Astyanax mexicanus: one gene and its partner. The protein of the gene in region 1 interacts with the protein of each later gene in a pairwise test. Links are inferred from orthologs where the notes say so. Each region holds a gene or a part of one and is shown in the gene's direction. Other genes may lie near its edges.

The links.
Region 2: the proteins of sh3yl1 (region 1) and sh3d19 interact in binary tests that used the Homo sapiens proteins (3 or more experiments, as listed by UniProt). The link is inferred for Astyanax mexicanus from reciprocal best matches to the Homo sapiens genes SH3YL1 and SH3D19.

Annotation. Positions count from the first base shown.
Region 1 is NC_064421.1:28,973,294-28,980,944, reverse strand, and holds the start of sh3yl1 (SH3 domain-containing YSC84-like protein 1), read left to right. Parts: upstream 1-4,632; 5' UTR 4,633-4,939; coding exon 4,940-4,940; intron 4,941-7,651.
Region 2 is NC_064432.1:20,714,237-20,722,072, forward strand, and holds the start of sh3d19 (SH3 domain-containing protein 19), read left to right. Parts: upstream 1-4,830; 5' UTR 4,831-5,040; coding exon 5,041-5,119; intron 5,120-7,836. UniProt on the Homo sapiens protein: May play a role in regulating A disintegrin and metalloproteases (ADAMs) in the signaling of EGFR-ligand shedding. May be involved in suppression of Ras-induced cellular transformation and Ras-mediated activation of ELK1.

The DNA of each region.
Region 1 (7,651 bases):
CAGGCTGAAAAAAATATTTTTATATTTAGAAATGTCTTATTTAGGTCATGATATTTGAACACAAAGACCTTCTAATGCAACGAACAATGTGCTGATTATCCTGAATATTAATACAACACAGTGGGAATTGGACTCTATTGCCCTTTTCCTTGGTTCAACAAGTCTGGGGCATTTGAGGACCTGGATCTTCTTTGTTTACTGAGTTTGTCGTATTTCATATTGATAACTGAATCTGAGAAAACGGGCATCAAACAATAAAGATTCTCCTTTTTGGAGAGAATGTGTAACTGCACCGAACATGCTAAAAGGTGCATTTTGGTGCAATCTCCATGTCTGTTTTCATTAATAAATGTTGCTTTGCAGGAATGTTAGCTGATGCTACATAAATTAAAGTGTTAATTTTTCCAGATTAATTGAATGTGTCAACATTGACAGCACTAATCTATTTATTAAATTATTCCTGCTAATGGTACAATAAGAATTTCCAATGTTTTGAATCAGTCCATCATGTCTAATATAAATATGAGCAGAATGTTATTAAGAAAATAGCAGTTCAGGGGAACTGTGGAGGTCAAGAAAAGATCTGAAAAAAAAAGTACATCCACACTAGAAAAAAAAAAAGAATTTATTTATCAATTTAAATAAATGTGATTCATTCATTGACTTTGACTAAATATTTTAACAGCGCAAACCTCACTAAGGAGATGCCCAAATACAGACAACACATCGTATGCGCTACACGAGAACGCAACACACTGGATAAATGCTATACAAGCATTAAAAACGCCTATCGCGCTGTCACGCGCGCAGCTCTCGGACTTTCCGATCACAGCCTCGTTCACCTCATTCCCACGTACCGGCAGAAACTCAAATCCAACAAGCCGGTCGTTACAACAGTGAAGAGGTGGACCAGTGGAGACATTGAGAAGCTGCGGGGCTGCTTCGAATCCACAGACTGGGCTGTATTTGAGGAGGCGACAGACGGACTGGACGAATACACAGACACTGACGTCATACATAAGTTTCTGTGAAGACAGCTGTATTTCAACCAGATCACGTGTTAAATACAGCAACAGCAAACCCTGGTTTACTGCTGAGCTCAAACAGCTTCGGAGGGAGAAAGAGGCAGCTTTCAGGAGTGGAGACAGAACTGTCTACAAAAAGGCCAAGTACAAACTGGAGAAAGGGATCAAGGCAGCTAAGAGAGTGTACTCGAAGCAGCTGAATAGCCATATCACTGCCAATGACCCATCTTCAGCCTGGAACAGTCTTCAACTTCTCACTGAGTACAAAGTGAGAAAGACCCCCCTCCTCCTGAACGACCGACAGCTCACCAACGACCTGAATGAGTTCTACTGCAGATTTGAACTCCCAAAAGTCACTCAGCAAACTGCCTCCCCCCATCATCATCACCTCCCCTCCTCCCCCACGCTGACTCTCTCACCTCCACCCCCTGCTCGTCTCTCCATCAATGTGCAGGACGTCCACAGGCTCTTCAGCAGGCAGAAGGTGAGGAAAGCTCCGGGGCCTGACTCAATCTCTCCATCCACCCTAAAACACTGCTGTGAACAACTAGCACCAATTTTCACCAGTATCTTTAACAAATCACTGGAGCTCTGCTGCGTTCCAGCCTGTTTCAAGACCTCCACCATCATTCCAGTCCCCAAAAAACCCAACATCACTGGACTTAATGATTACAGACCGGTTGCCCTGACCTCTGTAGTCATGAAGGTCTTTGAACACCTGGTCCTAGCCCACCTTAAGACCATAACAGAACCTCTGCTGGACCCGCTGCAGTTTGCATACAGAGCAAACAGGTCTGTCGAGGACGTAGTCAACTTGACCCTGCACTTTATCCTGCAGCATCTGGACAGCCCTGGAACCTACGCCAGGGTTCTGTTTGTGGACTTTAGCTCGGCTTTCAACACTGTTGTGCCGCAGATACTTCAAAGCAAACTGTCCCAGCTGTCAGTGCCAGACTCCATGTGTCAGTGGATTGTGGATTTCCTGACAGACAGAAAACAGCAGGTGCGGATGGGGAAACAAACTTCAGACCTACGAACACTCAGCACTGGAGTTCCACAAGGGTGTGTTCTCTCACCTCTTCTCTTCAGCCTCTACACCAACGACTGTGTCTCCAAGGAACCAGCTGTAAAGCTTCTGAAGTTTGCAGATGATTCCACTCTAGTAGGTCTCATAACCAACGGTGATGAGTCTGCTTACAGAAAGGAGGTCCAGCAGCTGGTGTCTTGGTGCAGCAACTTCCACCTGCTGCTTAACACAGAAAAGACTGTAGAGATGGTGGTGGATTTCCGACGCAACCCACCACCCGTACCCCCTCTCTACATCAATGGCTCAGCAGTGTCCACTGTGGAGTCACTCAAGTTCCTGGGCACCACCATATCTAGGAACCTGAAGTGGGAAAGGAACATCATCTCCATCATCAAGAAAGCTCAACAAAGATTGTTCTTCTTGAGACAGCTAAGAAAATTTGACCTCCCACAGACCTTGATGGTCCAGTTCTACACAGCGATCATCGAGTCCATCCTCACCTCTTCCATAATCATCTGGTTTGGCTCCTCCACCTCACATGAACGAGCAAAACTCCAGCGCGTCATCAAGTCAGCAGAGAGGATCATTGGATGTAACCTGCCAACACTTCAGGAAATCTACACCAGCAGGATGAGGAAGCGTGCTGGCAAAATCATGACTGCCCCCTCACATCCTGGACATCACATCTTCCAGACTCTCCCCTCTGGTAGAAGGCTTCGAACAATCAAAACCAGCACAACACGACACGCAAACAGCTTCTTTCCCAGAGCTGTAGCACTCCTTAACCACAGTGGACACATCTGAGTCTCCAAACATCTCACTCACTGAACTGTATTCACAACTGACTGGATTTACAATCTGCTCACTTGCACTTTGCTTATTTGCACAGCTATACAGATGTTCCTCTGTAACTTCCTAAGCAATATTTAAGATAAACCTACCTCAGAAACATTCGGTTCTAATAATATATTCATATGTGTACAGTACAGATTTTATTTTATTTTATTTAGCTCTTAGCTCCTATCACTCTTCAGTGCTCTTTATTTCTGTAGAACTTTTAACTCTATTCTTATTCTATTTATTGTTTATTGTTCATTCTTTTGTAGTGTGATGTTTGTCTATAGTCTCTGTATTTGTTATGTGTCATACACGTGTTGCTCTCACCAAGACAAATTCCTTGTATATGTAACATACTTGGCGAAATAAAGTGATTCTGATTCTGATTCTGACTTCTTGTTACTGACATGCCCCCAACTGGGAAATTCAGGGCTTATCTCAAATTAAATTCATGTGCTCTCATCTCGTAAATACAATATTACTGACACGACCTGAAGGCAGCATAAGTCCATAAAGCTAGTTTGAAGATGATCTACAATTTGCAACTGTTAAAACAATTTGAATCAGGATTTTTTTCTGGTCGGTTCTACTGCTTGACTGTATAAAAAATTATCCTCTTAATCCATTACTTATTTTAAATAAAATAAAACAACTGCCATATTGCCACTGAAAAAAAATGGTTGATTCTTTTAGGAAGGTGTTGATATGAGACTCTGAAATCTTGTGGATAGAATCAAGCAAAATTGAAAAAAAAAAAAATATAGATTTGCGTAACAAATTATATTTACTTTGTAACTGTTCATAACTGACATACACTAAACACACCTTTACAGTAGCTATTGAACTATAGACAGCCTCTTATACCCACAGTCTATGATATGAACACATAGAACATCCTTGTGAACATAACTTGTAAATTAGGGTTAGCCAGGAAAACAGACTTAAACACCTCAGCCATCCAAAAACTACTAAACTACTATAACTCTATATGCTACTACAATAGTATAACTTTTTAAAGCATTTTAAAAATGAGACTGAACAAATACATACAATTTGTATTTATTTACCCTTTTTTATTGAGTCATATGCACTTAAACAATCAAACAAAGTCAAACAGAAACAACTCTAGAACATGTTTATATATTGTATATTGAATAAAAATAAACTAAAATAAAACAAACAAACAGCAACAAAAAGTAAACAAGCTAACACTGGAATTCAAATAAAATTTAAAAGCTTTAAATCTAAAATAAAATTATAACATTTCTAAATTTCTAATAAATAAAGTGTATTTATAGTTTTGTAGATCAATTTAAACAAATATTTGGCATACAATTTCATCTTATGTATATAATATTTTAAAAGAATTTAAAAATGGGATTCGAACAGAAACATACTATTTGTATTTTTGTTTAGACTATTTCTATTGACTTACTTTTATGCACTTAAATCTGTCAAACAATGTCAAACAGAAACAACTGTAGAACATTCTTCACATAGTTATAATAAATAAATAAAACAAACAAACAGCGAAATAAAAAACAGTAGATATGTAGATCAGTGTAAACACATATTTGGTATAAAATGTCATCTTATGATTATCATTATAATTATCATATTATTACAACTATAATACAATTAGAAACAAACAACGATCATAAAGAGAAAGAGAAAATATTAAAAGGGGAAAAAAACAGCTCTAGGGGTCCTGAGAGAGTTTCACTCAGCGTCATTCTCCCTCATGTGTCCAAATGATCGCCTGATCTAAAGTGCTTGAAGTTTGACAGCGCGGTGTTTAACTACAGTCTAAACAGTCCTTTCTCACACCCCTCTGAACCCTCTCGCCCTACGGTGTGCGAAAAACACCTGTCTACAGTTGTGCTTTTGGGCAGTTTAATGTGAGTCGGGTCCTTTAAGACCATGAGTTTAGGCAGCAACAGGTTTGTCAGGTGAATCGGAAGTGGGTTCAGCGCAGGCTGCTTTACCTGAGCCAGGTGAGAACAGACAGTAAGGAACCTCTCCAGCCCCGGCGGTCAGTCAGTCCGGTAAAAGTAAGTAGAAAAGTCCGTTTTTTCCTCCTGTTTCTCTCAGCAGGGAGCTGATTATAACCCCGGGTCCGGTCCGGCGCTGTCCGGACGGGCTGCTGCTGCTGTTATTATTATAGAGCCGCCCGGCTGTCGACAGCTCCCCGCCTGAGACCCGCGCAGAGCAGAGCAGCGCAGCGTCCGGGATTTCCATTCAGAATAGCGCCCGGCTTAACAAAACCCCCCACACACAGGCTTTACAGAGCGCTGAACTGGACTGGGGTTAAAGACTTTAACTGGAAACTGTGGCTTTGTGTTTATAGGAGCGCATTTTCCAGTTAATCCAGGCTCTGCAGTTTGAAGCCCAACTGATGGATGACTCACACGATGCTGTTTAAAAAGTTCCAGCTTCTCTTTTATATCTTTTATAATTCGTTTATTTTTTATTTTACACAATTCCTGATTGAGCACATGAGTATATATGAAATTTATAAAATAATTAACCTTAACTAACCTAAAAAAATAGTATTGTAAACGACCACCATTAATACCATTTTTTTCTCGATAGGACCACGTGGTCAATCATGTGATCAGTGTTAAGCCAATAAGGAGCGACTTCCAAATTAACAAGATTCACTTCCTAGTGCACTACAGAAAAAAAGGTGTGAACAATATTCACACTCATTACTCATACAAGGAGGCAATAATAGTCTTTTGGGCACAAAAATGCAAAGTCATGTTTGACACAATTAAAAAAGCAAGGACTTTGATATAATAGAATGCATTTTTTTTAGTTTTTTTAGTTATCTCTTAAAATGTTCTAGTGACATATGAACAGTGTGAACGAGGGAGTTATGGCTTTCCACTTACATGAGTGTATATGATATTTACCCCACACGCATTACTCTGTAGGTAGAAATATAGATACTAGTGTTTAAAATATTTCTGTACAAGTTGAAGTATCAACTCAAACATTTTACTCTTTAAGTAAAAGTGGAAAAGTACTTAAAATAAACTTGGGATGCACTAGGCCCCCTGTTTCAGCTTCATATGTGCCCATTGAAAATGTATGCATTTTAGTATGATGTAAATATATGAAACTGGAACTTCGTAGTATTTAGTTTCTAAATTGAACACAGAAACATTTCTGAGTGGAGAAGGGATAAAGTATTGTGTTTAATGGTACCGGTGGGCTGCAATGACCATCCCTGCTAAGCCTAATATATTCATTCTAAAAACGTGTGTCGGGTCGCTTTTTGAGGCAGTTCTTCTGGCCACGTCATGCATCTTTACATACTTATGTCACATGTACAGCCTCTAGTAAATAGTAAATAGTCATTTACTATTTACTATGTAATATTTCCTATATAGTTAACTTACTAGGGAATGACCAAACCACAAACTATCTTAGTTTTGATAGTAGAAATTCATAATTCAGAATTTCAGAGTTCAGATATTCTGACTAATGATATTACATTACATTACATTTCATTTGGCAGACGCTTTTGTCCAAAGCGACTTACAATAATGAAGTACAAAGTAATAGGAATTTAGATAACCCATTTTTAGGTAGGGCTTAAAGGAGGTCGAAGGGAAATAAAGGGATAGAGAAGTGAAGGAGGGGAAGAAGGAAATGGGGTTAGAAGTAGTTAGTGTATTAGAGGTGTTAGGAGAGTAAGTATATATTACCAGGATGACATAACTATAATAGATGTTGCCATTGATGTACATGGTGTGTTATTCTCTCTTGTATGTAGTTTATTTTTACTAGTAAAAACTCCAGTTACAGATACCTATATTAATTTTGTTTATAGTAGCTATATGTTGTATTATTATGATTTTTTAATTATTAAGATGTTAGGCTAAAATGGCTTGAAACAAGTAACAAATTACTTCCAAATGAACAAGCAAAAACAAAGGAAACTGATGTATAGCAGAGTCTGTTCTCTGTTACCAGAGTCTGCTCTCAGGTTGCAGAGCTGCAGGGTTTATGGGGTGCTCGGCACTATCTGAAATAGAGATTCTACTGTCCAGGGAGCACAGAGCTTCAGTCTGTTTCACTTTTTTACAATCTTACGTCAGAAACGTAGCTAACCTTCTTGTAAAGAAGACCAGCCGCAGGCTCAGGATTTTATCCACAACACTTGTGATTTTTCACAAGGGTTCAGGTATAGTTTAACAGTAAATATAAGTACTTGTAGATTCAGAGTGCAGAACTAAACAGCTGGTTTATGCTTACAACTTCTGACATGCAAAATACAAACTTAGACTTAGCTTACCCTGTAGCTAGTAGAATAGTAATTCATGTATTATTCTGTTTTATGCTTCCCATGGAAATTTCACTTGACTTAAGTCAATTATGTAAATAGAGATTGCTCCAAAATATTATCACGAGGTTGATTAGCTAGGATCCCCACAATAATTTATATACAAGCGTATACACCAATATATATGTACAATGTACTATAAGTCGATATTTGAATTATTATGACAGTCCTAGCAATATGCATATAGCATGATTAACCAGCTACATTTTCACTTGGATGACCATCCACAAGTTTGCTTGTGAATTAGCTTTTGCAAAGTGAAAAATTAAGAAAATAGAGGGAAAATCCCTGTTATTAGACTTTGCAGTTCTGATCTGAGTGGATACATCAGGTCTTGGTGAAGGATCACTTCTTCATTTGGCATACACATCATGATTATTTTGACTTAATCGTCACAGGCAATTAAATTAG
Region 2 (7,836 bases), on another chromosome or scaffold:
GTTAATCAATGGCTACATCTGGTGGAAGAAAGGCGCAGTTGTGCCCTGGTAGATTTCAGCAGAGGGGTCGATAAAAGATAAAAGTGTAGATGGTGGGGCTAAAGGCCAATATTTTTTAGATTATAACAATATAGTTTAAAATAAAGAGAACTGGTGTGCTTATATAAGTACCTATATGTACATGTAAATTTACTGTGTAGCTAATGTATTCTGTGGTCTGTCACACAGTAATTGGCTGTTTTCCTTCGCCCAAAGATATAGAGCAAAAAAATAAAATAAATAAATAAATAAATCATATTTTGGTGTGTGACATTTTTGTTGTTAATAAATAACATTGTTAAAATAATTATGTTTAATTTTTTAATTATTTCTCATTTGAAACATATAAATGAATTAAATAGTTCCAGTCACAGCTGCTGGATAATTTAGGCTCCAGTTAAGCAGGAGGGAGAAACTGAGGAGGGTGAAAACTAAAGATTTAAACTGAGGAGGAAAAGGAAAAAGTTTACACAAAAATAAAAAAAATGAGCAGGTAGGTTCTCCAGGTAGGCTGTAATTATAATGTGTATTTATTAAACACAGTGAATTTATATATTAAAAAAAATACTTTAACAAATAGTTAGCAAGTTGGCTAAATGTCTAAACCACATGTGTCAAACACAAGGCCCGCGGGCCAAATGTGGCCCGCCACGTCTTTTTATGTGGCCCGCGAGAGCTTGTAAGATCTTAGTGTCTATAATAAATAAGTCAGAAGCGTTCTTTGACCAAAAAATACATTTCCCACAATGCTTGTCGATTGTATTACCCGCAAAGTTACGGCTTACTGCCACTACACGGCAGTGTAGTCATTGATGTGGAAACCCTGCCGGAGGGAAGGTGTAACTTCGCGGGTGGAATTGAGACATATAAATGTTTATCCCATAATGTCCAGAAAAAGAGAAGTTGATGCAGACGGACGGCTGTGCTTCAAGGCGAAAGACCGGTATGCCTTTTGTGTTACGAAGAGTGTTACTGACCAAAATAAACGCTTTTTAGGAGAGATATAAGTTCTGTGTAAATATTTATAAGACAATAGCTGACAAAATCTGTTTTAATGACGTTAATAAACATCACTGGGACAGCGCTAGTCGCAGTTTCACCGCAGCAAAGTACGAGGACGTGAATAACTTATCTAACCAGCCTTTACTGATTTCTGCCCTCAATAACCCTTTCAATAACCTCCAATAGCCTTTAATAGTCTCCAGTAGCCTTCAACAGTCTAACCTTGCAGCCGTGGTGTGTCCACTAAATTCCGTAGTTATAAACATCCTGAGGTTAGCAGCGCGATAACTGACCTGTTTATAATGTAATCCCAGCAGTGACTCATGCTCTAAACGGCTGCTGTTAGCTGATTGGGCTGAAAGATGAACTGTAGAGAGCTGTATTATTCGGTTACAAAAATCTTTATTTCATACGGAGCCCGGGAGGGGCCGTGGATAAAAAAATAATTAAATCGAGTGAACGATGTAGCAGTTCGTGCTCACGTTTTCTTTAATTCGAGTGAACGATTTGCAATTCGTGCTCACGATTTCTTTAATTCGTGCTCACGATTTCTGTAATTCGTGCGCACGATTTCTGTAATTCGAGTGAACGATTTCTGTAATTCGTGCTCACGTTTTTATGCGCAATAAGACAAGAAGCTCGGAGGGAAAGGAGCATTTTCTCTCTTGATCTGTTACAGGGGTGCAGTAATGATAATCAGTTATCTACCTTTATAACCTGCTGTTATTAATGCACTAGTGTTACAGTTAGATGTACAGTACAGTGAGCAGATTTTGCCTGGTGGTGGAATCTCTACAGCGCGTGGGGGAGAGCCGTCCGCGGCATCGGTTCCCCCGCCGCCAGACACCTGCCGCGCGCGCAGGTCTTCACGGAGCTTATTTACCAACAATGTAGACAAATACAGTCAATTCCAGTCATGATTAAAGGAAACGAACATTTTACTGATGCAGGACAACTGTGTGTTATTAAAACCAGATCAAAACAAAGTTATAATGCAATGTGCAAATGTGTTTATTAATTTCTAAATAACATTCAGCCAGCCTCCAAGGAAATGCACACCTTCTTAAATCTGGTTACATCATTATTACTTTTATGATAGATTTAATCTATATTTTAATAATTTGTATAATAAATAAACACATAATTCAGAAAATATACATTTAAGAAGTTTATAATTATTATATTTTTTTATTTGAAGCTTGTGGCATGTTTCTGGGCAGGACACTGTGATTTGAGAATAAGCAGATATTCAGGACATTTCATCAGATATAGAAACTTAATTATTTTAGGAAACATATTGGAATAAATTATCAAATTGATCCAAATTATTATATGAAATGCCTATTTACTAAATATCTTAATACATTGTATTAATAGTATTTTAGACCAGCTATTTTGATTTTATATAGTCTTATATGAGCCATTCATAGACAACTGTCACACCTTGCATTAATTTTGTATTATCTTTATTAACTTTTACAGTGTACATTTGGACCTAAGTCTTATAGCTGTATATTTATAAAATTATACTTCTTTACGTTATACTATTGTTGAAAATAAGAAATTATAAACAGTTCCACATTGCATTATAACTTTGTTTTGATCTGGTTTTAATAACACACAGTTATCCTGCATTAGTAATGTTTGTTTCCTTTAATCATGACTGGAATTGACTATATTTGTCTATATTGTTGGTAAATAAGCTCCGTGAAGACCTGCGCGCGCGGCAGGTGTCTGGCGGCGGGGGAACCGATGCCGCGGACGGCTCTCCCCCACGCGCTGTAGAGATTCCACCACCAGGCAAAATCTGCTCACTGTACTGTACATCTAACTGTAACACTAGTGCATTAATAACAGCAGGTTATAAAGGTAGATAACTGATTATCATTACTGCACCCCTGTAACAGATCAAGAGAGAAAATGCTCCTTTCCCTCCGAGCTTCTTGTCTTATTGCGCATAAAAACGTGAGCACGAATTACAGAAATCGTTCACTCGAATTACAGAAATCGTGCGCACGAATTACAGAAATCGTGAGCACGAATTAAAGAAATCGTGAGCACGAATTGCAAATCGTTCACTCGAATTAAAGAAAACGTGAGCACGAACTGCTACATCGTTCACTCGATTTAATTGTTTTTTTTTATCCACGGCCCCTCCCGGGCTCCGTAATTTCATACACAGAAGAACTTAAAATTTTTAAAAACGCTCCAGACTGGCTGAGCTGAGCCCTGTAGCCCGTGGCTGGGCTGTAGCTCTGACTCAGTAAAGACTGCGGACTTGTGGTGCTGCTGCTGCAGCTCCCACTAGTGGTTGGATGAGGAACTGCTAAATCTGAGGAAATGCTATGTTCTTAACAGCTCACAATTTTTGATTTTATATTTATTAAGCCTTATTTCAGTTAATAATTTCAAAGTTAATATAACTTGATGTCATTTCTATTCACTTGAATAGTTTGGTTCTTGATTGGTGGAGTTTTTGGATTTCATGACATGACAAATTAAAAGGATTTATGTTAATAGAGCAACAAGCAAACATTTTTTCCATGCAACTGTAATATTTGATTGAATAAATAATATATTGAGAGTTATTTAACATTAAGGAGTAATTACATTCATTTACATATATTACATTTGGTTACATTTTATTACATTTATAAGTTACATCTGGCCCTCGGAGGACAGCCAATATGCCAATGTGGCCCTCGGCCAAAATGAGTTTGACACCCCTGGTCTAAACTAACACTCAGCTAGTGCTAATGCTAATCTAGCTAGTTAGCTAGCTGTAGCCGAACAACCGCAGGCAAGAGAAAGACACACAAACTCTTATTTAGAGGAATAATGCGTGTAATTTAAAACAGTTTAATAAAATGTTTATTTATTATTAATAATTATTTAATAATTAATTATTATTAATTATTTATTTAACCAATTTAAGTAATTTGTTGGCCTTCTTCTGACTGACTGAACTAGCTAGTTAAATGGCAATGATTTTCTCACTAAAGCAATTTGCTTACTACAGTAAAACACACACACACACACACTATAGTCTTCTTATACAAATGTACAGAAATGTAATAACATTTAAATGGCTTTAAGCTGTTTCTTTTTTTGTTAATGTTCATATGTGACAGATATATAAGTCAGAATATGTATTTAAACTCTTTTGAGTGGTTACACATAATACTGTGTCTTTCAAAACATGATTTTTAATGATAAAAAATATTTTCAACAGTCATCATATTTATAAAACTTCAGACGACACAGAAAAAAATCTAACTTAAAAACACAAGTTAAAAATAGTGTCTTATCACTTGAGCAGGATGTGCTTTTTATTTTAGAAAGTATATTGCTGTATGTGTTTGTCTCGCTTTTGCCTTAATTTTGTTAAGCAGTAAAAATATGTACGCTGTCTTGTACTTTAAACTACTACAGTTTAAACTGCTACTAGTATTTATAGCATTTCATTTTTAACTCAATGTTTATCATACCATTAGTGTTACCTAAGTCCAATTATTAGCAGTCAAGATGTTTTATGAATATTTGTGGCCTAAGCAAAGCACCTATTTCCAATATTAATATAGTGTATATAGTGCCTGATATCTTCAAGCTATAGTGGGCGTGTCATGTAGTGGGCGTGTCTTGTAGTAGGCGTGTGTATCCGTTATGCGAGATTTCTCATGTGTATTGGTGCCCTCTGGTGGGACATGTCATAAACGCCCCTCACTGTAGTTCACCTCTTTCTCTCTCTCTCTCTCTCTCTATCTCTCTCTCTCTCACTCACTCACTCACTCTGTTTTGGACAGGGCAGCACAGCAGAGCTGATCTGATCCCTCCTCTGCAGTACTGCAGTAACTATGAGAGAAGGTGTGAGGACAGTTGTTGTTCAGACAGTAGCAGAAAGTTAGTGAGGTGTTTTAACTTGGTAAATCTGTGAGTCTCATTCAGAACTATCACACTTTCATTTATTTAAACTCTGCTGAACTGGAGCTGGAGGATCTGATGGCTGAGGGGAAAAGGGAGGAGGACCCTGAGGGGCTGCCAGGTGGGAGAGCTCTGTTAAGAAGCCGATCTGCTACAGGTAACTGCAGGCTGAGTGTGATACTCTGCTCTGTGTTTTTTTGGTAAAATACTCACTACTTCTTTTTACTTTTCTACCAATATTTGAACTGGAGATAATTCTTTTTATTCAGCACTTATCACTGTGAACTTTTAGTACACTTAAGGGATGTTTTTCTCTGATATTAGGGATTTAGCCAAGTCTTGGACTAATAAACATCATTTTGAATTGCGATTTTCAATTGAAAGGAAAATATAGCCTACTACGCTCAATCTTAAAACGCTTTTATCAAACTTTCCTATTTTTCCCTGTTATAAGAACTTTAAGCAATGTTTTAGAAACAATGTTCCAGCACATTCTAAAAAAAAAGTGGGACATAATAATATGCATTATTATTGAACGTTTCTCACACAGTGACGAGTTAGTCAAACAGTAACATCATGGAAAATTCTTAAAAGTACCACTCCCAGTCCCAACACTAAAAATACAAAAACACCAAGAAGTGTTTTTTTAGTGTTTTTTAAATTTTAAACTTTTTTTTTTACTTTTAAAGACCTTAACTAAACTGTCGAAGAACATCCAGAAACCTTGACAGTTTTAACGTTTAGGAAGCGTTTTACTACCCAACATCTGGGTTGGTCCAAGTTCTGGTTTACTGTTAGCTGTCTGACTGGTTTAAATTTCACATCCTGATATTACAGAAATCAGTGCATCAATGTATAATACAGATAACAGAAATATAAACTAGATTTCACTTCAGTACATCAGTTAATATCAGTTAACTGCAGTTATATTCTCAGCTAATTACTACTACTAATTACTCCACAGCACTATGCACAGGTTTGAAAACACTGGTTAAATTACATGTGTTGTTGATAAATGTGATCAGTGATAAGTTTGGATCCAGTTTTTTGTACTCTTGTACTTTGTACTGTAGACAGACTAATTGATATAAACAGGCAGAAAGGCCAGTAATCAGACATACGTATAGATAGACAGACAGACACACACAGACTGGTTGGTTGGTTGGTTGGTTAGGGTAGTGGATAACAAAACTGGTAGACTTGAGGGTTTGATTCTGGTCTCCAAAATATGTTCCTCGCTCTACCTCACTCTACCTCACTCCACCTCACTCTATTGAACCTCGCTCTATCCGACTATACCATATTCTACCTCGCTCCACCTCACTCTACCTCACTCCATCTCACTCTATTGAACCTCGCTCTATCCGACTATACCATATTCTACCTCGCTCCACCTCACTCTACCTCACTCCACCTCACTCTATTGCACCTCGCTCTATCCCACTCTACCATATTCTATCTCACTCCACCTCAGTCTACCTCACTCCACCTCACTCTACTGAACCTCGCTCTATACGACTCTACCATATTCTACCTCACTCCACCTCACTCTGCTGAACCTCACTCTACTCGTCTTTACCATATTCTACCTCACTCCACCTCACTATACCTCACTCTACCTCACTCTACCCGTCTCTACCATATTCTACCTCGCTCCACCTCACTCCACCTCACTCTACTGAACCTCACTCAACCCGTCTTCACATAGTCTACCTCGCTCCACCTCACACTTCCTCACTCCACCTCTCTCTACTGAACCTCACTCTACCCGTCTCTACAATATTCTACCTTGCTCCACCTCACGCTACCTCACTCATCCTCACTCTACTGAACCTCACTCTACCTGTCTTTACCATATTCTACCTCACTCCACCTCACTCTACTGAACCTCACTCTACCCATCTCTACCATATTATTCTCTAACGATCCACATTTCAGATTCACTTTAGTAGATGAAGATATGTTTTAACAGAGTGTACTATAATTATCAAACACACACAAACACACAGGTGAGGTTTGAGTGGAGTTTTGAGGGGGAAATTCCTTTCCCTGTTTTTCAGTGTTGGTGCAATGTTTGGCTGAGTCAGCGGGGTGTGTGGAAAAAGCAACCCCCCACACACACACTCCTCTCCCAAACACACACACACACATATACAGGATGTGTTGCTCTGCCAGCTGGTCTAAAGTGAGACACCTGTGTGCCCAGTACAGCAACTGTCCCATATAATTTTACACCAACCAACACACACACACACACACACACACCAGCACAGCTGCTTCTGTGAGAAATCTTAACTCAATTACAGCTAGAATTTGATAGTTTGATGGGAAATTCATCCAGACTGTCTGGAAATTCTTGGAAATCTAAAGGAATTGTTAGTGTGCACATGCCCAGTCCGCAATCCGTCCATAATTTTATATAAAAAATATATATTAAAAATAAAAAATATTTTTAGTCATCGTGCTAATTGCTTAATGTCTTACTGTTAAATAAATAGCTGTGTGGAATTGAATCAAAAGTTTAATTACAGTTAAAATTGTAGTCAAGAAGTGTACAGGAATAACTGACTACTTTCCACATGAGCTCTCAGCATGGGTGGACGATGTCCAGACGTAGGTTTTGGATTTTAAGTGTTAATAGTGCTTGCTCTTGTTAATGCAGTTACTCTTCACTAAAGTACACAAAAGCACTGCATTGATTCTTTATTTCTTTGAACTGTGTTATGTGTTCTGACACTGTGTTACTGGGAATAGTAAATTATGAAAAAAAAAAACAGTGTAGACTAAGTGATGGGTCTTACGCACAAAGAGAAATTGGTAGGTTTGCTACTGAACAAAGCAAAGTGGGGCCTCTGACAAAACTATAATTGAAGA